4 linked regions of the Arabidopsis thaliana genome follow. The protein of the gene in region 4 interacts with the protein of the main gene of each other region in a pairwise test. Each region holds a gene or a part of one and is shown on either strand. Other genes may lie near its edges. The genes, in order: AT1G68670, ATMYC1, BHLH92 and TTG1.

Region 1 (5,449 bases), on a different chromosome or scaffold from region 4:
CCGTAAGTCTTGTTAAGCTATAATTTGTTAGTCTTGGTTAGAACCGGTTCAATGTGTGTATGTATGATCTACGGTTTATACTTTTTTTTTTATTTTTAGTTGGTTTTGTCATTTCTATATATAAAAATGTAAATGTTCTTTACTTCTTTCTATTGTAATTTGTAAATGTTCGTTGTCTCGGTATCCTGCACAATCTAGCTTCAGTGACGATGTTTTAGAGAGGCTAAGGTTAGGTTGGTAACTGGAATAGAAACCGGAGCCTATTTTCTTAAACCATTTTCAACGGAAGTTTCTTAAATCCAGCCACTTTGTGAAATAAATCTTGGAGTTGAGATTTATTTACATTTGCTGCCACTGATATTTAATAATTGTTTTTGATAATTAGAAAGAAAATCTTCTAATTAAATATTTGACATTTAATAATCTTCCCAAAATCTTTCTACCTTAACTACACAATTAATTACTAAAATAAAACTTCCAAAATATTTAATATCATTTAATTACTACAAAATTATCATTTTTGATATTTTTGCTTTTCGGCATGACTATAACAATTCAATTATAATCATCAAACCGCAGAGATATTTGATAGCATTTAATTACCACAAAATTACAAAATATTTAGACAATAATTCATAAACATATCATAAATAAGATCAACATTAATAAAATAAATAGTTTTTTTACGGGACGGGTTGACGGGACGGGTTTGGCAGGATGTTATTTAATAACAATTGTAAACTATAAAATAAAAATATTTTATAGATAGATACAATTTGCAAACTTTTATGTATACTAACTTTAAAAAATAAATTATTTCTGCGGTGTACCGCGGGTTAAAATCTAGTGAGTTTTTAAAATAGAATCAAGTGTAAATATAGATAAATAATATATTTTAATGATGAGGTTCTTACATTTGAAGAAACTTAGTTCAATTGACTCTTAGTTAAGAAACAATTGGACTAAGTTTCTTCAAATTTAAGAAACCAAACTAATATTTAAACAATATAATATTTTTATTATATATCAAGAATTTTGTTTAGAAACTCCCATTGAAAAAACTCTTAACTTCCATGTTCTTGGTAGTTTCCCTTGGACTCAGAGTCATATGTTTTATTTTTGTGCATTGCCAATTGACAATTATTGCATTAACTGATTAACCGTCTCTTTTTAGCTCTAATTGACACTCTTAACTTTGTTGTTTAATTGTGGCTATGCAATAGCTATTATGAAGAGAACTCCAATACATGTGTTGGAGTCTTGGAGATCTTACTTGCATCTTCAAACATTCATAATACTACAACTTAGACATTGTTTGTTTTCTTTTCCCATGGAAACAAATTTTATCATGTGCTAATAATAAAGGTAAGAATTGATGGAGCCAATCTCGTTTAAATCTATATGTCCCACACCTCCCACATAAAGACCAAACATGTATTAGCTCCATCAGATTGAGACAACAAAGTTCTATGTGTAGATTTAGATGTTTTTTCTTAAAACAGATTTGATTAAGAACATGTGGAATGAATCTGATATTTGCCTATTATGATGATGATTAAAGCAATAAGCATGTTGTAACTTTCCATCTACAAGAAAACAGTTGATCATTTCAATCGACCTTCAAATAGTTTCATCAATCATACATAAGTAGACCCATAAAATAAAATTTTGATGATCCTAATGGTGATTATTGTGAATGAAATTAGTCCAAAATCTTGCTGTATCTAAAAAACACAAAAATACTATTATCATATTCATATGCATTAACTCATCCTATCAAGGAATCGAACCACCAAAGAACCGTTTGTTTTTCTTAAAAAGATAACGACGAAACCAATAAGATAAATGAATATGACAAAAGCAGAGAATCTGGTTGCATCAATTGAATATTTGGTCACGTGGGTACGCGCTCTATGCGCGTGAACATTTAGCAAATTGGCTCTTGAGGAATATGAAAGGTCGGATATGTAAATAATTAATACGCGGCGTGGGCAAATGTGATTCTCACACTTCCTTCCAAAAGATTCTTCTTTCTATTTTTTTTTTTTTTTTTCCTCCCCTAGAATATTCCTTCACCAAATTAGCTCATTTCCAATTCAAATTTTAATATTCGTTCTAAATATCTGTAAAAACGTAGTCGAGTGGTAGGTTACATAAATTGTGAATGATTAACGTTTGGAGTTGGAATTAAGATATCACTAATGATATGATTTATTGTCATTGAAAGTTTTAAACATAATTTTTCCTTATGAGATAGTAGTAGTATTTTAATTTATTTAATGAAACGCATATTTGTTAGGTGAACGTCAATTTTTATGATTTTTGGAAAAGACGCATAATAAAAACCAAATCTTTAAATTTGAAATTCTAAATCATAAAATCTCCATTTAATGAATAGATTTGCCCATATAGAAACACAGAAAATCATTTCTATTAGATGATAGTTAAGTTAAATGAAGGATAAAACAATCGTTGGAAAACAAAACTCTGGAATCTTAATTAGGGGAGAAGAAAAATGGTTGAGTTTTCGTTCTTATCTGAAAAAAAAAAGCTAAAGAGATTGGAATAGTGACGTCAGTTCCAGCCCATACAAAGAGATGCGAACCTATAATCGAATCTGATCCTCCGAATATTCACCCATCATCTTCACGATATTACTATTTTACCCTTCTCTTCCAAAAGAGAAAAAAACATTTTAACTCTCAAAGATTCGTTTTAGGTACGCGACGGCCCGACCTCGATTCTCTTCCACTTCTTTCTTGTTCCAAAAACCTAAACCCTCTCTCTCTCTCTCTCTCTCTCTATCTCTTGAAAAATCAACAAAACATTGGAATCAATTTCTCTATGTTTTGATTCTATTTTAAAGATCCAATATTCTTTCTCCATTGAGATTAAGCTTCTTTCTCGCTGTCGTCTCTCTATAGATCTTGGTTCTTAGTCCCTTTTGAATAATAATGATGGTGGAGATGGATTACGCTAAGAAAATGCAGAAATGTCATGAATACGTTGAAGCACTTGAAGAAGAACAGAAGAAAATCCAAGTCTTTCAACGCGAGCTTCCTTTATGTTTAGAGCTTGTCACTCAAGGTAATAATAATCCAATCAAAATCTCCAATTTTTAAACAAGTCTCTTACAAATCTTGATGGGGTTTTGTTATGTTTTGTTTCTGTATAGCGATCGAAGCTTGTCGGAAGGAGTTATCTGGTACGACGACAACTACATCAGAACAGTGTTCAGAACAGACCACAAGTGTTTGTGGTGGTCCTGTCTTTGAAGAGTTTATTCCTATCAAGAAAATTAGTTCCTTGTGTGAAGAAGTACAAGAAGAAGAAGAAGAAGATGGTGAACATGAATCTTCTCCAGAACTTGTGAATAATAAGAAATCAGATTGGCTTAGATCTGTTCAGCTATGGAATCATTCACCGGATCTAAATCCAAAAGAGGTATTTAAAGTTTTGAGCTTTTTAAAGGAGTTTTAGTTTTCGATTATGAGGAAATAATCATGTGTTAATTGAATTATAGGAGCGTGTAGCTAAGAAAGCGAAAGTGGTGGAGGTGAAACCAAAAAGCGGTGCGTTTCAGCCGTTTCAAAAGCGCGTTTTGGAGACTGATTTGCAACCGGCGGTGAAAGTAGCTAGTTCGATGCCAGCGACGACGACGAGTTCTACGACGGAAACTTGTGGTGGTAAAAGTGATTTGATTAAAGCTGGAGATGAGGAAAGACGGATAGAGCAGCAGCAATCGCAGTCGCATACGCATAGAAAACAAAGGCGGTGCTGGTCGCCGGAATTACACCGTCGATTCCTAAACGCGCTTCAGCAGCTTGGAGGATCTCATGGTAATTACGATTAATTTTAATTACCTGATTATCTTCTATCTGATTGGTTCATTAGTGATTCATAATCGGGTTGATAAAGAACTGTTTTTAAACATTAAAACGTCTCAACATTTACATTATATTAGTAAGTAACAAAGATTATTATCAACATTAAAAAATGATTTTTATTTGACATTTTATTTGCCAATCTTGCAGTTGCTACACCAAAGCAAATCAGGGATCACATGAAGGTTGATGGATTAACAAACGACGAAGTTAAAAGCCATTTACAGGTTAGTGATTAATGATTCTTATGTTATAATCACAAGTTCGTGAAATTGGTAATTAAATGAAATGTTACTCAAGTTCTTAACCATTTTTTGTGTAATATTTCAGAAATATAGACTTCACACAAGAAGGCCAGCAGCAACATCCGTGGCGGCACAAAGTACCGGGAATCAGCAACAACCACAATTTGTGGTGGTTGGAGGCATATGGGTACCATCGTCACAAGATTTTCCACCACCGTCCGATGTAGCCAACAAGGGTGGTGTATATGCTCCGGTTGCGGTGGCGCAATCTCCAAAACGTTCGTTGGAGAGAAGTTGCAACTCGCCGGCGGCATCTTCCTCTACAAATACAAATACTTCTACTCCTGTGTCATAATCTGATAGTCATACTATAATCATCTCCTGATGTTGATTTTGGTGTAGGTTTGAAAATGTTTATGTGAATGTAAGAAATATTTTCGTCCGTTTTTGTTTGTAACCAAGAAATGTTATTTCCTCGGTTGGAAATTTTGAATAAAGTAGACGAATGCTACTATGTAGTATATACACGAGATAAGTGAAGACTCTTTGTTTTTCTAACTTTGGATATTTACTAAAATATCTTCTTGTTTTTGGTGTCTAATTTAGACAGATCTTCGTGATGAATCTGATGGCAAAGGTTATAATTCATCACCTTCGTAAATAGTAAAATACAAAGGTAGATAAGAGAATCTAAGATGAATTGAGAATAACGTGCGTGAATGGTGATGTAGATATTTGGTGTGACAATTAGAAGTGATTTATTTATGGTAACGCTTGCTTAAAACAAAGGTCCATGAATCGACCAACTAACCATTCACAGAATTGAATACCAAATCTATCTTTTTGCATGGCAATTTATTAAAATAAATCTAACGTGGCCGCCTCTGAATCTTGCTTAATAGAATAGTAACCACTAACCATAATCAAATCATTAATTTAGATTTTTTATTTTTTGTCGGCCAATTTAGATTATAGTATCTTTTTTTTTTTCCTTCACATATCTTACGGTAATTGACTCGAACCGGAATTTCTTTAGAAAATTCAAAACCAGTTTAATAATCGGGTTCATGGAGAATAAAAAGGTCATGTTCTGATTTTTATAATAAGTCCTTGTTGACTAAGTCCTTGTTGAATAAGTCTTCCTAGATTATAGGAAAGTGGACGATTAAATTTGTATTATGTTTTGATTTTATATGTTATAGAATTTCAGGTCGATAAAAATTGTGACATTTGCATTGTGTCTAGGGTCTTTCGGGTTTTTTTTTTTTTTTTTTTTAACTTGATTTGTAGGGAGGATAATCTTGGGTCTATACAAGCAAG
Region 2 (5,982 bases), on a different chromosome or scaffold from region 4:
GCACGAGTGTATATGAATTTAGAATAATACTATCTTAAACAATCGGCTAAGCTATTTATAATCTGTAAGATTGATACTAACGATGTAACATTAATGTATTAATCCGAAGACAGTCGTGCATTGTAGTGGCAAATGTTGTATGTCAGATGTGTCGCGTCTGTAATCAATGCGCTACGTCTCTCTGTCTTAACAAAATCATTGAAGCTTTAAATTTGAATTTCATTATTTTACAATTGCATTTCTCTCGTAAGTCGTAACTTTCATATTCATTTTTTGAAGATTTTTTAAGGATAAAATGTGAATTACTATTACCAAAAGAAACATTGTTATTTACTTTGGGACAGCTTCTAGATATGGACCCCAACAAAAAAAAAAAAAAAAAAAACTGAAACTAATACAAGTCAAGACCCAACTATAGTAACTAGGTTTGGGTGAACCATTGGGACAACAATCTTCCACAACCTTTGCGATATTGTCACGGATGGTTATGTCAATCTGCCACAAAACAATCTTAGGAGAGAACTTGAAGTGTTGTGCAATCTCTCATTTCTTTCTCTCCGAAGAAAGAAAATTGTTGCTTGTATAATGAGAATTAAAGACTTCAAGTTCTCACTCAACTTTAAATTTATCTAACTTTTCTCTTTGTCGTGGTTCATGTCGCTTCTTTTTCATCCTGAATGCAATTTGATATAGGATCCCATTGGTTAGGATTGTATATGTTTTGTAAAATTTAGGGTAATATATAGACTTTTATACTATAATTTTATTATTATATACATTTAAAAAATGTCTAGGGCATCTAAAATTAAATTAATTGTTTCTATGAAAATAGAAAATATAAACACAAACATATGGCTATAATGAGTGTGTTGTGCCAACAGAAATAATTTATAAAATTAAACACAAAGTTTTGTCGTTATGGAAATAAATGTGCATGCAACCACAAGTGGTGCGTTACTAAATTATGTAGGGCTTCGTGGATAGAGATGGATCAATTATTATTTTCACGAGTTTCTTGCCTTCATTTCAGCCAGCTCTCTCCTGATCTTGCCTTCAATTTTATTACTATTTTTTTACTGCCACTTGCTATATTTACTTACTTCGGACAAAATAGTGCTTTGATGGTAAACAAATAACGATCGGTATATGCGATGTCTCGCGATTGATTATCAAACTTGAACAGTAGTGTGTATTTGTTTAATATATAATCTATTAGAGTATCATGGAATTATTCGGGTGAAATGCGCATTTATATCTATCATAGAAACTAGAATCTTCACTATCCAAATAGTATATTCCATTTTCTTGCAACTACGTATAACTACATTCTGTTTGTCATATATTTAAGATCGAGTAACAAAAAATTAATCATCTTCATTGATGTGAGCCAGACAAAGAGTTCAATTTTTTTGGTTGTTAAAGTATGTTGATACTTGATACGTTTACCAAAACACAAAAAAACAATGTAGGTCGATACGTTCCATTTCCACACAACAAGATAGATACAAATATATAATGATTGTAAGACAATAAGACCCCGACATGTCTTAACACGAAAAAAAAAGTAACTAAGTTTATATAAACCAACACAAGTTTAACTAAGAATCTAAGAATCTCTACTTTGTTGATTTCATAAGTGTATTCATCTAAATTAGTTATAAGTACAATGTAATATCAACATGTATTTATATTGTCTCTTGTTGGATATTAACTATCCAAACCAAACCTATAATATGAAATCATCAAAACATTAATCATTATGGTCAAACTATCTCAAGTTGTATTCTTTAAAAAGTGTCACGATAAACTCTAACATCATAGTGGATTTAAGACAACACAAATCCAAAAGAGTTAAAAAGATCGGTCTTAAATTTATGATTCATATCCATGCATGATGTTGGCCAATCACCTAGTATAGTAGTAATAACCAAGCTTTTGACTAAATGAATAGGAGGAAACAAAAAAACTATATTGAATCTTTCTTTTTGCAATATTTTTCAGCATCATCACTAATTTAGAGAATATTTTACCTTGGTTTTCACCAAATAGAATCCAACACTATTACCATATGTATTGTATAAAGATAAGTCACTCCAAAAACCAAGATCATGACCCAAGTCAACCACTCTCTCTCATAATTCAGACACAGTACTCAACTTTAAAGACACTCTTTTAAGACTTTCCATCAGGACCAAGCTGAGAAAGAGAAAGCAATAAAGAAAGAAAGAAAAGGAAATAAAGCTTCAATACCAAACCCTTCTTTAATAAATTTTGCCTTTTGGTTGTCTCCTCTTTATCAATCACTTTGGTTCCATACTTTTAAATTCAGTTCTTCACGATATCTAGATATGTCTTTGACAATGGCTGATGGTGTAGAAGCTGCAGCAGGAAGAAGTAAAAGACAAAACAGCTTATTAAGAAAACAACTTGCTTTAGCTGTAAGAAGTGTTCAATGGAGCTACGCAATCTTCTGGTCGTCTTCACTTACTCAACCTGGGTAAGTATAATCTAATATTCATCATGTACCAAAATTATCAGATCTTGTTGTTCTCATCTTTGCATTTCCATTTTCTCTTCTTTTAAATCTTGGGTTACTTATGAGTACTATGTTCTACTAATTTAGGGTTTTGGAGTGGGGAGAAGGATGTTACAATGGAGATATGAAGAAGAGGAAGAAGAGTTATGAATCTCATTATAAATATGGGTTGCAAAAAAGCAAGGAGCTTCGGAAACTTTATTTGTCTATGCTTGAAGGAGACAGTGGTACTACTGTTAGTACTACTCATGATAATCTCAATGATGATGATGATAATTGTCACAGTACAAGTATGATGCTGTCACCAGATGACCTCTCTGATGAAGAGTGGTACTATTTAGTCTCCATGTCCTATGTCTTCTCTCCTTCACAATGGTTTGTTCTCTCACTCTCTCTCTCTCTTCTCCTATGAATTTGTACACTAAAATATATTAGCTCTTGTGAACTATTCATATAGAAAAACCAATTTGCAATAAAGAAGTAATGAGAAATGTCCTTTCATTTTAAGATGAAACATCCATCACTTTGGGTAAAGAGTTTAGTACCACCAAAACCATTTGGTAAATAGTGGAGTGATTATTCCTTTGGGGTTCCTTTTTGTTACACTTTCACCTTTTGCATTTTAAGTAATCCTAGATTAAGTTTTTTTTTTCTCTTTTATGATCATTAATTATTGTCATTTTGGCTTTTTTGGTTGTTTATGTATATACTTTAGTTTGCCTGGAAGAGCTTCAGCGACGGGTGAGACCATATGGCTCTGCAACGCTCAATATGCGGAGAACAAGCTCTTCTCTCGTTCTTTGTTAGCAAGAGTAAGTTCTCAGAAACTTCTAATTTCCTCTTCTTGAATCTTGATATATCAAGATCGAATCTGACTAAAAATCTCCTTTGATCTTCTTTGCTTTTCATTACTGTTCATATGGCTTCTCTCCTTTAGAGCGCATCAATTCAGGTACGTTATAATGTTTGTTATAACTGGATTCTGATTGTTAGAAATAAAAGTTTAGTTCTCTTATTGTTAGAAATGAAAGTTTAGTTATCTATATATCAATTTGGATAGAAGATTTATAGAATGTATCTGTGTTGTTATCTCCAGACTGTTGTGTGTTTCCCTTACTTGGGCGGAGTCATTGAGCTGGGCGTCACTGAATTGGTAACTCTCCATCTTAATATATAAAGTTTTACTTTTGTTGCTTGCTTCACAAGAATTAAATATACCTTACTTTGTTTAATTTTGTTCATGATCAATGAAAGATTTCAGAAGACCATAACCTGCTTCGAAACATCAAATCTTGCTTGATGGAAATATCTGCACACCAAGACAACGATGACGAGAAGAAGATGGAGATTAAGATCAGTGAAGAGAAGCATCAGCTTCCATTAGGTATTTCTGATGAAGACTTGCATTACAAAAGAACCATTTCAACAGTACTCAACTACTCCGCAGATAGATCAGGTAAGAACGATAAGAACATTCGTCATCGTCAGCCAAATATTGTTACTTCTGAACCTGGCTCAAGTTTCTTGCGGTGGAAGCAATGTGAGCAGCAAGTCTCGGGTTTTGTTCAGAAAAAAAAGTCACAGAATGTGTTGCGGAAGATATTGCATGATGTCCCTTTGATGCACACAAAGAGAATGTTCCCAAGTCAGAACTCTGGTCTGAATCAAGATGATCCTTCAGATAGAAGAAAAGAGAACGAAAAGTTCAGTGTCCTTAGAACTATGGTTCCCACTGTCAACGAGGTAATAACTCTTTTTCTAAATCCTTAGAGACAAGACTGTGTTTCAGAAGCCAACACTCTGTTTTGAATCTTTGTGCAGGTTGATAAAGAATCGATACTAAACAACACAATCAAGTACCTGCAAGAACTGGAGGCAAGAGTAGAAGAGCTAGAATCTTGTATGGGATCAGTTAATTTTGTAGAAAGACAAAGAAAGACGACAGAGAACCTTAACGACTCTGTGTTGATCGAAGAGACATCAGGGAACTACGATGATAGCACGAAGATCGATGACAATTCAGGAGAAACCGAACAAGTCACTGTTTTCAGAGATAAGACACATTTGAGAGTTAAACTCAAAGAAACAGAAGTTGTGATCGAAGTAAGATGTTCTTACAGAGACTACATAGTTGCGGACATCATGGAAACTCTGAGCAATCTTCACATGGATGCTTTCTCTGTTAGATCTCACACGCTCAATAAGTTCCTCACATTGAATCTCAAGGCCAAGGTAAATTAATCTTACTGATGTTTGGAAAAGGCAGATTTGGGTTTTCTTGACTTACACGTAACGTTTTTGGGTTTATGCATGCAGTTTCGCGGGGCTGCAGTTGCGTCCGTAGGAATGATTAAGCGAGAGCTGAGAAGAGTCATTGGTGATTTGTTTTAATGTTCTTCTTAGTAAAAATTCTTATATTTTCTTAAACTTTTGATGAAATGTTATATTTATCTAGACTTTCGTGAACCGATATGCGATGTGCCATTATCTTTACATCAAGTTTTCAGGGTTTTTGTATGTAAAGTTTGCCAAAGTTTGGTTGGAATTTTCGACAACGTTGTCTCTTCCTCTTCTACAAAACCAAGATCTATACTTATTCATAATTCATGGGCGATTTGTATCTTTCATTAATGATTGTTTTGAGCTATTATATTATTTGTATTGATAGAAAAAAATAACCAATTGGCTTTGGCTCAACTTCTTTCCCGTGAAGAGGATGGATCATATACATATCCTATTGTAATTTGAATGAACCCTATTGGGTCAAGGATCATGATCTCATGGGAAAGCTAATGAGCTTTATCCACCTCAAAGCCAATTGGTTACTAATGCTTGAACTAAATCTGTCTTATATACTAGCTAAAATTTCCATATGTTTCCGATGTGGGATTTGTTAAAGTTACTAATGCAATTTTTCTGCCGACATTATCATAATAAGTTGTACCTTAAACCTCAAGTAATTGATTTGGTCCTCATAGGCTATTAGGTTTAGTGGGCTTTTGGGCCGTATTAAACCCGTTTGATTAGAAAAGCTAGCGCTCGCCAAAAGCCCTAAACTTGTCTCGTAGCCTCAACCTCTTGATATTATGCTTCGTTTAGGTCGTCATGTGTGATTCTGTGCTTCAGTTTCTTTCTAAATCCTTAAATAAACGGATTGATATTTACTAAACGGAGGATAATGTAACTTGAAAAGGTATTTATTGAAAACTGTTGATTCTTTCTTGAATGCATAATTAATGGTGTTCTCTTGTAACTCATAGAGCCTCCAAAGAAGTAGTAAATGTTATGGTGCGTTATAAAATTTGATTGTTTCACTTGCATTATATATCTCCAATTGATGCAGCCTTCACGCTAATTACCATACACTACTTCTTAATTTCTTAAAGTCTTTTGAGTATTTGATTTTCTTGGATGTCACATATGAAGAGAGGGATATTGGAAGTATT
Region 3 (4,984 bases), 9.2 Mb from region 4:
TAAAATGTTTCAGCCTGACTTCTTTCAGAAATTGCTTGTTGAGGTAATAGTAACAAACACATCATCTTGCCACTTATTCTCTGCCCTGCTCTTACCTCTTTGTTTGATTAATCAGGTAGAGAATATGAGAAAGTGGCTTCATGAGGCAAAATTGATGATCAGGAAACCAAACAATAAGAGTAAATATGGTGTTGTGCTTGACGACTTTGGCATGGATATCATGCTTAAGCCACTCGTGGAGGATTTTATCTTTCCTATTTGCAAAGGCAAGGCGTATATATTACTTAAAAATGCATTAGAAAGACTTTTAAAAAGTAACATTAAACTTCACTATGTTGTTTTGCAGTATTCTTCCCTCAAGTGTGTGGAACAATGTTTGACACTCAACATGGATTCGTTATTGAAAATTGTGAAGATAGGGATGCTGAATTAGGTGAGTCCCTTTTGATTTTCTGATATTACTTGAGAAAACCAGAGTGAATTCTTTAATCTGGTGCAGTGATCTTTTAAATCTGCAGGCTTTCATGTGGAAAATTCAGACATTACATTGAATGTTTGTTTGAGTAAACAAAGTGAGGGAGGGGAAATATTATTCACAGGCACACGATGCAATAAACATTTGAAAGCAGGTCCAAAGCCAGAGGTATGTGAGTCCTCTTACGTTCCTATATTCAGTAAATGGCAAAATGGTTAGCTAATAAAGGAACCAATTATTTCTCACTGAAACAGGAAATTTTTGAGTACTGTCATGAACCGGGTCAAGCTATACTTCACCTTGGCTGCCACAGCCATGGTGCAAAAGCCGCCATAACATCTTGTAGTCGGGCCAATATGATTCTTTGGTGCATAAAGTAAGCAATCATGAAGCTTGCCTCAGGATTTCAGATCACAACTAAAACACCTTTTCTTCTGCATTTCCATTTGCAGCTCTTTGTTCAGAGAGATGCAAACTTATGACAACGAATTCCGAGACTGGTGCGGTCAATGCGCCCGTGAAAAGAAAGAAAAGAAAAGCCAGAGTCTTGCTTCCAAAAGAAAGGTTAAGAAAAGAAAAAAGGACATGATTTTGCTCAAGTTTATAAGATGTTTTGTTTGAGCATGGTTATGAACCTGTGGGGGTCCTTATTGCAGGAGATGATTAGGATAATAGAGTGAAGCCGAAGCCCGCTGAAAAAAATGAAGTCTATGCTTTGAATTTTGACTCTTTACTTGGAAAATAACACTGAGTATATGTAGAATCATTTGATGTAAATAGGTCTTTGTGTCTTCGAATTTCTTACATTACTACTATGTACATGAAAGTTACCAGTTACATGTTTAGGATCGGCTATATGTTTACAGTTTACTCGCCGTATCGAAGCAGTGTTCAGTGTCAGCTGAAAAAGAGTACATATAGCCGGTCCATTCGGTTAGACTCATGAAAACCGGTTTAGTAATCATATGTTTACAGTGTCAGCTTTTTTTTTGAAATGTATGATTTGGTTAACCGGTTTTAAAATTGTGAACCAATTCAATTGTGCAATTCCGAACACTAGCGATTCGAAGTAGAGAAAGTAACATTGTACCAAGCTAAACCAACGGCGATGAATGCTAGAACCGCGATGTGATGTGTGATTAAAGAGAAGGTTAGGAGGAAGTAGAGGATGATAAATTGATTCGGAAATGTGTGAGGTTTTGTGTGACGCGTGTGGTGGCGTCGGCGATGGACTAGCGGCGCTGGTGATTGGTTGTGCGGTTTCTTTAACGCCGGAGATTACTTGATTCGCCACCATTGTTGCTCTGGATTCTAGAAACTTCTGAAAATCCTAAATTCGTTGGGAAAAGAGGAGAAAGTCAAACTGATTCATGAGAAGTTAAGAAAGCCCAAGCCCATTAAATTGAGTATCACTTAATTCGTTATTTATACTAAAAAAGATCGTTTTCTAGAATCGAAGTTGGTAGTGTAAAAGAAAAAGAAGTTGAAGAAGCAAGAATTTTCCATCGAAGTGGTCAATTATCCGAGTGTAGTAAAGATAAAATCTCTTATCAGAAAATAAAATAATCGAAGTTGGTCAATATTTTTAGTCAAGTCATTCACACGAGGAAATTTCCCACCCAAGAGTTAGGATACGTGGAAAGAAAATCTCAATGACTAATGTGTTACAATAATTAGACGAAGAATAAACTAATGCCACACACACACACGCACAAATTCCACTTGTGATGACTGATGAACTTAATTATTATTATTAAACCCTAAGGTTTGATAAAACGGTATAGGGCCGGCTCTTTTCTTTTCTCCACGGTGTTGTGTTTTTTGAACTCACAAAGGAGATTTTGTACTTTAACTTCAAAAAGAAAATTGGTTAATTTGAAAACAAACAAACAAATAGTTATAGCTTTTACGCGTCACGTAATGTCTAAATTTTGTTGCCAAGACACGTCACTTGACTTTCTCTAGAGTTCACCTTTGATACATCATTTGACTGTCTCTGGTTTTCTCCTATATACGTCACTTCATCTAACCAAGAAGCTGAGAAAACTATTCATTGACCACGTTCTCAATATGTTTCACGTGTGTTAAATCAACAAAACCACACGTGATTAAATCATAATAGGTATATAGACACACCACACAAAAGACAACATCAAAAATCACACAAATCAAGATTGTCAAACACACTAAGAGAGAAAGATGGATAACTTTTTTCTAGGTTTGAGTTGTCAAGAAGAAAACAACTTCTGGGATCTAATCGTGGCCGACATCTCGGGTGATAGAAGCGTCAGTGTACCTATCAGAAGCGCCTTTAGGTCATATATGAAGGACACGGAACTGAGGATGATGTCGCCGAAGATATCTTCTTCGAAGGTGAACGTGAAGAAGAGAATGGTCAATCTTCTGAGAAAGAATTGGGAGGAGAAGAAAAATACGGTGGCTCCAGAGAAGGAAAGAAGCCGGCGACATATGTTGAAAGAAAGGACGAGAAGAGAGAAACAAAAACAGAGTTACTTAGCTCTCCATTCTCTACTACCATTTGCCACTAAGGTACCTTGATTATTTGTGTAATATTAAACTTGAAACGAACTTTATTTTTCTTAATGACTTGGAAAGAAAATCATAGTAGTTCTAACAAAAATCCGAATTTTTACAGTTCAAAATGGCACACAAAATTAGATATTCGGTAGAAATGGATTAGATTCATGGATACTAAATTTTCAGAATTTCGACTACTATGTCTGTTCACTGATCTTTGATGTTTGTATGCTTAATTACATGCATTGATCTGGTTTTAGAAGCTTATCTTAAATATCTATAAATTTATATTGAGTAAGGTATAATATAAAGTTTTGAGTATGATAAATTTCCAACTACAATCATTTGTATAAAATGTTTGTAAGTTTTTGCACTGGAATCTTTTCTTTTATCACTATTTTCTTTTACTTAAGGATTTTGATATAGAAACAAGTTTAAAGAACATCATAGATTGATATCGAAACAAGTTTCAAGACCATCATTTCTCCTTATATTCTCATTTTATTTCAGAATGACAAAAATTCGATTGTCGAAAAAGCCGTGGATGAGATTGCGAAATTACAAAGATTAAAGAAAGAACTAGTGAGAAGAATTAAAGTGATTGAGGAAAAATCAGCAAAGGATGGTCATGATGAAATGAGTGAAACAAAGGTTAGGGTTAATCTAAAAGAACCTTTGTCTGGACTAGATTCAATGCTTGAAGCGCTTCATTATCTTAAATCAATGGGAACAAAACTGAAAACAGTCCATGCCAATTTCTCTCCTCAAGAGTTTTCTGCGACCATGACCATCGAGACTCAGGTACATATTTAATTCGATTCGAATTGGTTGAATCCGGTTTTGGTTTCTCTTTGGTTATGACAACTTGACAAGTACATAAAGGTAATAATAGGTAGGTTGTTTTGTGTTAGTAGCAAAAAAAAAGTAGATGGTTGTATGTTTTTTTAATTAAGTAGTTAGATCTGTATTAGTGTGATGATATTAAATTTAAAGTTAACTTTTTGGCAGATTAGAGGAGAGGAGGTTGAAAAGAGAGTGGAAAGAAGACTCCAGGAAACTGAATGGAAACTTCTCTTTCTCCCAGAAGCTTCCTTTTACAAAGACTACTAATTCTGTTGACTTTCTGTCATTAATTTTCTTTTGTATTTAAATTTGTATATAGTTAAATACTTAAATTAACTGGTCATTGCTTTATTGACACACATAAAGAAAAATAATGGGGCACACTACTTTTGAGTTTTGAGTTTTGAGGTTTGAAAAATAAAACTAAGAAAATAATATTGATAGAATATAATAGAAAATTTATCAAGTATATAACCATATATAGTGCCAAAATTTGCAAATTGTGTGATAGATAATTTGGTAAATATGTAATGCATTTTATCAATAAAAAATACCATAAAATTTGATTAAAACCAGCATAAAAACCTATCCCAATTAAAGTTTATTTTGAAAAATAGAAATTGGAAAGTTCAATACTTTGGCTATTATTATTTATTATTCAATACTATTTACTACGTACACTCTATAGTAAGAGTTTTTAAACATACAATGTTATTCTTCAACTTAATACGTTGCTGGAACAAGTAAACAACTCAAAACATTAAATAACTAGGAACATAGGGATTAATATATTTGTGCGTTACAATCTTAATAATTGTGAACTAGTACTATCTTATTAGCAAATACACTTGTTCACCATGTGGTTCATTATTTAATTACTTATGAAATCGCCAAAAAAGACCATAGATTTGTCATAGGAAATACAAAAATGGATAATAAACTTTCACCTACCGAGTCAAAACAAGAAGGAACTAAACAAGAAAACAGCTCCTTCAACCAAAACTTTTTGCATATTTATCAAATATTTGAAAACTTTAAATTTGGTAAAATGAATGAGGAGCAAAATAAGATAATTTAACACAGTACTCAAATCTAAACCCTCCTGGTGGAGTTAAACAGAAAGTCATC
Region 4 (5,516 bases):
CCAAAGAATCTCAAACAAAAGTTTTTGATCATAGTTACTAAATCATTTTTGGTGAATAACCGAGAGAATGTCTCCCGACTTCTATTAAAAAACAAAAATAACAATTACACAATCACTCGTCTTGAACAAACAGGTCTAGAAACATCATCCCGTAAGATTTCATCCGCACACCGGAGAACATAAACAAGAGCATAAAAGCTTAAAGACAAGCATAGTTTGTTAACATGTCCGTAAAATGATTAGCCTCTCTATATGTGAAACACGGTCAATCTAGTTTTTCGATAAAAAACTATAGCGCAAACGTACTGGAAATGATAGCAGATGAGAGTCCCATAACCTTGTCTTCAAAATCTCAACCACCATTTACCACAAATATGGGGATGAAAACAGGCAAACGGTCTCATACGTTGTAAATAAGCATTCTTAATGTCAAGTTGGTAGATAGGCCATAAAATAAGCATCCTTATGTTTAGCGCATAGCCTCCACACCATTCACCCTCCTCATTACGTATCAGACCACCACCAGCCGCGAGTCTCGAATTGCCATAAAATACCCCATCAGTATTTAATTTAAACCAGCCCATAGACGAGATAAGCCATTTTATCAGCTTCTCAACCCGACCAGCCCTTTGTGTTGCCTTTCCGCTACTAGCTCTCGCCTCCAATACCTCCTTAGCTAACTCTCTTATGAACCGCACCCTATTCTTCCATACTTTATTCTCCCCAAAAACTAGCTAATTGAATTACCAACATTTGATCAAGATAATATACTAGGTAGCTAATTAATGAGCTCATTTTTTTTTGTCGTCAATGGGCTAATTTATTAATTACAGTATGAACTATTGACTATTATTCTAAATAAGTGAATATCACGAGTATGTACGAATTATTGGATGTATCTATTTGTATTGATTGATGTAATATCAAATAGTATGAATTTGGAGTAAACGTGGGTTTGGGGTTGAAGCAGGTAGGGCATGTCAAAGTAGGGCGTCTTTCGTTATGTCCCTTTCCTCTAAATTTGAACCTCTGTCATTGTACAGAAAAATCGTAATAACCCATAAATGTGTTTTAAAAAACATTATTTCGAGTTTTCTACACATATTCTAGTCATGTTTAATTTGAATCTTTTCTTATTTAAGTAAGCTTTAGACATTTTTAACCTAAGTTTTCTTCTCCCTTCATAAATTTTGAGATCTATATAATGTTCTTACATTTTGGATCAAGATCTTCATATTCTCATTCCAATTAGTAAAAGATTTTTTCACCTTTTAATCTCTTATCTTTTATTTATATTCTTTAGTTATGTTTATGCTTTTCATCATATTTAGTGGTTAGTTTTTATTATTTATTTATTGATTCATGACTTATGCTAGATTATGATAAGAATTTATGTTACCACTTGATAAATCCTCCATTTGACATGTGTTTAATGCTAGATTTATATTGTCTCCAAATTTACAACTTCGATGTCTTATGATAAATGCCAACAACCAAATTTCAGATAAAGATTAGCAGACTAACTAAGCTTATTATTCACTTGCAAGGTGGAGTGATGTTGAAAGAACCCTCACAGACACGTCATTGGGAAGACTAAATCTCTTTTTAGCACGTTACACCTTTGAGATCGCGTTTATTCCATATGGAGAGAGAGCAACAATACGAGACATGGAGAGGCACCATTACCGCCGGCGCAACTGCTTCCAAATATTGACAAACAAATTTGAATCTGGATCTTCTCTATTCGTGAACAAGGAGATAGAAGCTACGATGAATGCATGGAAGCTTGGTTTGCTTTAATATAAACACTAAAGGGGAGTAGAACTTTCTTGAAAAATTGTATGCAAATTATTTACCGAATGTTAAAAGCTTTTTTCGAATAAATTTTACATTTTCTTAATAATAATAATAAAAAAGGATTGTTGATTATCTTAATCACAAACAATTTATTTTAGCTGAATTAGACAATTGTTAGTAAAATGATTAGAGTGTCACATATTAATGTTGTTAGTGTTTCATGTCATCCTAGTGATCCAATAATTAGGCCATTCTATAGCTCTTAACGTTAAAATAAAAGGCCCATTATCTGAATATACAGAAGCCCATTATCAATAGATACATTAAAAGATACTGATTAATCCAGAGGGTTTATATCTACGCCGTCTCCATTGATTATTTCTCCGTCTCTTGAAAAATCCGACTGACACTGACCTCAAAACTCTCCTCTCACTTTCGTCGTGAAGAAGCCAAATCTCGAATCGAATCAGCACCACACATTTCCATGGATAATTCAGCTCCAGATTCGTTATCCAGATCGGAAACCGCCGTCACATACGACTCACCATATCCACTCTACGCCATGGCTTTCTCTTCTCTCCGCTCATCCTCCGGTCACAGAATCGCCGTCGGAAGCTTCCTCGAAGATTACAACAACCGCATCGACATTCTCTCTTTCGATTCCGATTCAATGACCGTTAAGCCTCTCCCGAATCTCTCCTTCGAGCATCCTTATCCTCCAACAAAGCTAATGTTCAGTCCTCCTTCTCTCCGTCGTCCTTCCTCCGGAGATCTCCTCGCTTCCTCCGGCGATTTCCTCCGTCTTTGGGAAATTAACGAAGATTCATCAACCGTCGAGCCAATCTCGGTTCTCAACAACAGCAAAACGAGCGAGTTTTGTGCGCCGTTGACTTCCTTCGATTGGAACGATGTAGAGCCGAAACGTCTCGGAACTTGTAGTATTGATACGACGTGTACGATTTGGGATATTGAGAAGTCTGTTGTTGAGACTCAGCTTATAGCTCATGATAAAGAGGTTCATGACATTGCTTGGGGAGAAGCTAGGGTTTTCGCATCAGTCTCTGCTGATGGATCCGTTAGGATCTTTGATTTACGTGATAAGGAACATTCTACAATCATTTACGAGAGTCCTCAGCCTGATACGCCTTTGTTAAGACTTGCTTGGAACAAACAAGATCTTAGATATATGGCTACGATTTTGATGGATTCTAATAAGGTTGTGATTCTCGATATTCGTTCGCCGACTATGCCTGTTGCTGAGCTTGAAAGACATCAGGCTAGTGTGAATGCTATAGCTTGGGCGCCTCAGAGCTGTAAACATATTTGTTCTGGTGGTGATGATACACAGGCTCTTATTTGGGAGCTTCCTACTGTTGCTGGACCCAATGGGATTGATCCGATGTCGGTTTATTCGGCTGGTTCGGAGATTAATCAGTTGCAGTGGTCTTCTTCGCAGCCTGATTGGATTGGTATTGCTTTTGCTAACAAAATGCAGCTCCTTAGAGTTTGAGGTGAGAGTTTCTGTTTCGCTACATAATTCTCATTTGCTAGGCCTAGATTCTAATGAGGAAGCATTGATTATTGGTTTAGATTGTGTTGCATTACAGATAGTCTTCTAGGTTTGGTAACTAAACGTTTTTTCGATTCTTGATAACAAAGCCACTAGAGATTTGACACTAACTCGTTTTAGATTTACCTGAATCAATATCTCTGTTAAAATCAATTACTTTGTTATGCATACATAAATCACAGTTTAGTAGTCATATATATTGGCTCTTATTAGCGACAGGTCTCACACTTGCTGTAATGGCTGATAGTGTAGTAGTCATATGTTGGCTTTCATCTAAGTTGATGTATCATATGATGAATAGTTGTACACTCGTCAGGTTCTAATTTTTACCCATAATTCTTCAGTCTATTTTTTTTTGAGACAATCTATTCTTAATTTAACGAAGCCACTAGCTACGTATACAAATATTGTTAATTTAACGAAGTATCTGAGAATTGTTTACTGCTGACTGTGCTGTATGCCCTCAGAAACATATAGAAGTGGAATTGGAAACTTCATGCTGGTTTGAACATCTTTGTATGTGTGCTTCAGGTTTTTGTAACTCATTTAGACAACAGCATTGCATATATACACGCACATATGCAACCTAGAAAATCAAATAACCTTTCCTTATAATTACTATACATTTCACTTGATGTCAGGTGCAGATGTGAAGTGATCAATAAGGATTTTAGCATAGACCCGTATAATCGTCATGTGCGTAAGTAGGTTTGGTTTGCGCTCCCTCTCGCTTTTAGGTCCGCAATGACTCTGTATCTATCTGATTGTAACTAAAACTGAATTCATTTGATGAACCAAATGATACTATTATCTTATGTTGTGTATAAAACCCAACCAGGATATATTGCGGTTTCTGGTGTTTAGATTTGGTAATTGGAGCTTAGTACAATGCAACCCTGTCTTGCTTTATTGGACGTCTCTAAGATAAATCAGCTTGCAATGAATTCCAATGGAGTTTGTCAGTTTGAATTAACTTCTTTGCATAATTAACACAAAGATTTGCAGTATAAATTCCATTGGAAGACTTATTTGTTTATTTGACACAGATTTAAATTGAATTTCAATGGAGTTTCAGTCGACTATGTGACACAAAGATTTGAAATGAACTCCAATGGGAATTTGGTGAGTAAATTATTATAAACAATCCAATGTTTGACACAAATATTTTAGAATCTTCACATCTGAAGTCTTATAAATCGTAGCAAAATTTTCAATCTTGAAAATTATAAAAAATGAGAATTAATTTAAATCACTGATCCGATAATCTCCTCTAGAAATATAAGAATCTATAAACCATTAATAGTAGAATTCCAAAATGTTATAAATCTATATACTATAAATGAAAATTTTACTTTTTAACTTTTGTCTCCATAATATCATACCATACTTAAAATTTTATTTATTTTATTCTAATAATCACAATGTGTTTCTTTGTATATAAATAGAGTTTTTCTAATGGTTTGAGAAGTGATTTGGAAAACATGGATACTCATATTTTTTTCAATTTATAAGATGATCAAAATAGAAAATTTAGCTTATGAAATCTTTTAGATTTAGGAACAAATGTATACTCTAAAATGTAACTATTTGACATGTGTCAAAATGTTTTTAAATTTGTTGTGATCTTGTTACAATTAAGATCAAGCTACTTGTCAGATTTTATGTGATGGGTTAAATTTTACAAAATTCTAGCCCAAATATAAAATACCTACGTCCTCAAAACTTAAAATGCAAGCGATAATAATACAACTTAGAGTACAAAGAGGTTAAAGGTAGATAGAATGTCGACCAGTGAGCTCGCCTGCACTTATGCTGCTCTCATCCTCCACGATGATGGAATCGAGATCACCGTTAGTTTTCTTCTCTTCTCTCTTTCTTCAAATTTGTTTTCTAGCTATTGAGACACTGTTTAGCCTATGTTTTAGTCTCTAGAATCGTCATCTCTCTTTTCTTGCCTTGTGGTTTCAAACTGATCTCACTTAAGTGTTGTAATAATGTAAAATTATTAGGCTGAGAACATATCAAAACTGGTGAAAACAGCCAACGTGAATGTCGAGTCATACTGGCCTAGCCTCTTTGCTAAGCTATGTGAGAAGAAGAACATCGACGATCTCATCATGAATGTAGGAGCCGGTGGTTGTGGTGTGGC

What was found.
Region 1: the proteins of TTG1 (region 4) and AT1G68670 interact in binary tests that used the Arabidopsis thaliana proteins (3 or more experiments, as listed by UniProt).
Region 2: the proteins of TTG1 (region 4) and ATMYC1 interact in a two-hybrid assay, tested with the Arabidopsis thaliana proteins (2 studies listed by BioGRID).
Region 3: the proteins of TTG1 (region 4) and BHLH92 interact in a two-hybrid assay, tested with the Arabidopsis thaliana proteins (2 studies listed by BioGRID).

Annotation. Positions count from the first base shown.
Region 1 is NC_003070.9:25,779,390-25,784,838, forward strand, and holds AT1G68670 (myb-like transcription factor family protein), read left to right. Parts: upstream 1-2,411; 5' UTR 2,412-2,954; coding exon 2,955-3,087; intron 3,088-3,175; coding exon 3,176-3,444; intron 3,445-3,523; coding exon 3,524-3,839; intron 3,840-4,034; coding exon 4,035-4,111; intron 4,112-4,214; coding exon 4,215-4,484; 3' UTR 4,485-4,729; downstream 4,730-5,449. UniProt on the Arabidopsis thaliana protein: Probable transcription factor involved in phosphate homeostasis.
Region 2 is NC_003075.7:216,051-222,032, reverse strand, and holds ATMYC1 (basic helix-loop-helix (bHLH) DNA-binding superfamily protein), read left to right. Parts: upstream 1-2,251; 5' UTR 2,252-2,348; coding exon 2,349-2,497; intron 2,498-2,623; coding exon 2,624-2,911; intron 2,912-3,251; coding exon 3,252-3,348; intron 3,349-3,473; coding exon 3,474-3,488; intron 3,489-3,632; coding exon 3,633-3,689; intron 3,690-3,790; coding exon 3,791-4,279; intron 4,280-4,357; coding exon 4,358-4,768; coding exon of another isoform or gene 4,769-4,777; exon of another isoform or gene 4,778-4,799; intron 4,800-4,852; coding exon 4,853-4,913; coding exon of another isoform or gene 4,914-4,927; exon of another isoform or gene 4,928-4,991; coding exon 4,992-5,167; 3' UTR 5,168-5,221; downstream 5,222-5,982. Other genes in the region: AT4G00467 (Calcium-dependent lipid-binding (CaLB domain) family protein), read left to right, coding at 5,957-5,982. UniProt on the Arabidopsis thaliana protein: Trancsription activator, when associated with MYB75/PAP1 or MYB90/PAP2.
Region 3 is NC_003076.8:17,532,449-17,537,432, reverse strand, and holds BHLH92 (basic helix-loop-helix (bHLH) DNA-binding superfamily protein), read left to right. Parts: upstream 1-2,636; 5' UTR 2,637-2,674; coding exon 2,675-3,025; intron 3,026-3,523; coding exon 3,524-3,814; coding exon of another isoform or gene 3,815-3,826; exon of another isoform or gene 3,827-4,021; coding exon 4,022-4,123; 3' UTR 4,124-4,303; downstream 4,304-4,984. Other genes in the region: AT5G43660 (2-oxoglutarate (2OG) and Fe(II)-dependent oxygenase superfamily protein), read left to right, coding at 1-43, 116-266, 347-433, 519-643, 730-851, 928-1,096.
Region 4 is NC_003076.8:8,369,499-8,375,014, reverse strand, and holds TTG1 (Transducin/WD40 repeat-like superfamily protein), read left to right. Parts: upstream 1-2,167; 5' UTR 2,168-2,281; coding exon 2,282-3,307; 3' UTR 3,308-3,308; intron 3,309-3,834; exon of another isoform or gene 3,835-3,883; intron 3,884-4,008; 3' UTR 4,009-4,698; downstream 4,699-5,516. Other genes in the region: AT5G24510 (60S acidic ribosomal protein family), read left to right, coding at 5,149-5,217, 5,377-5,516.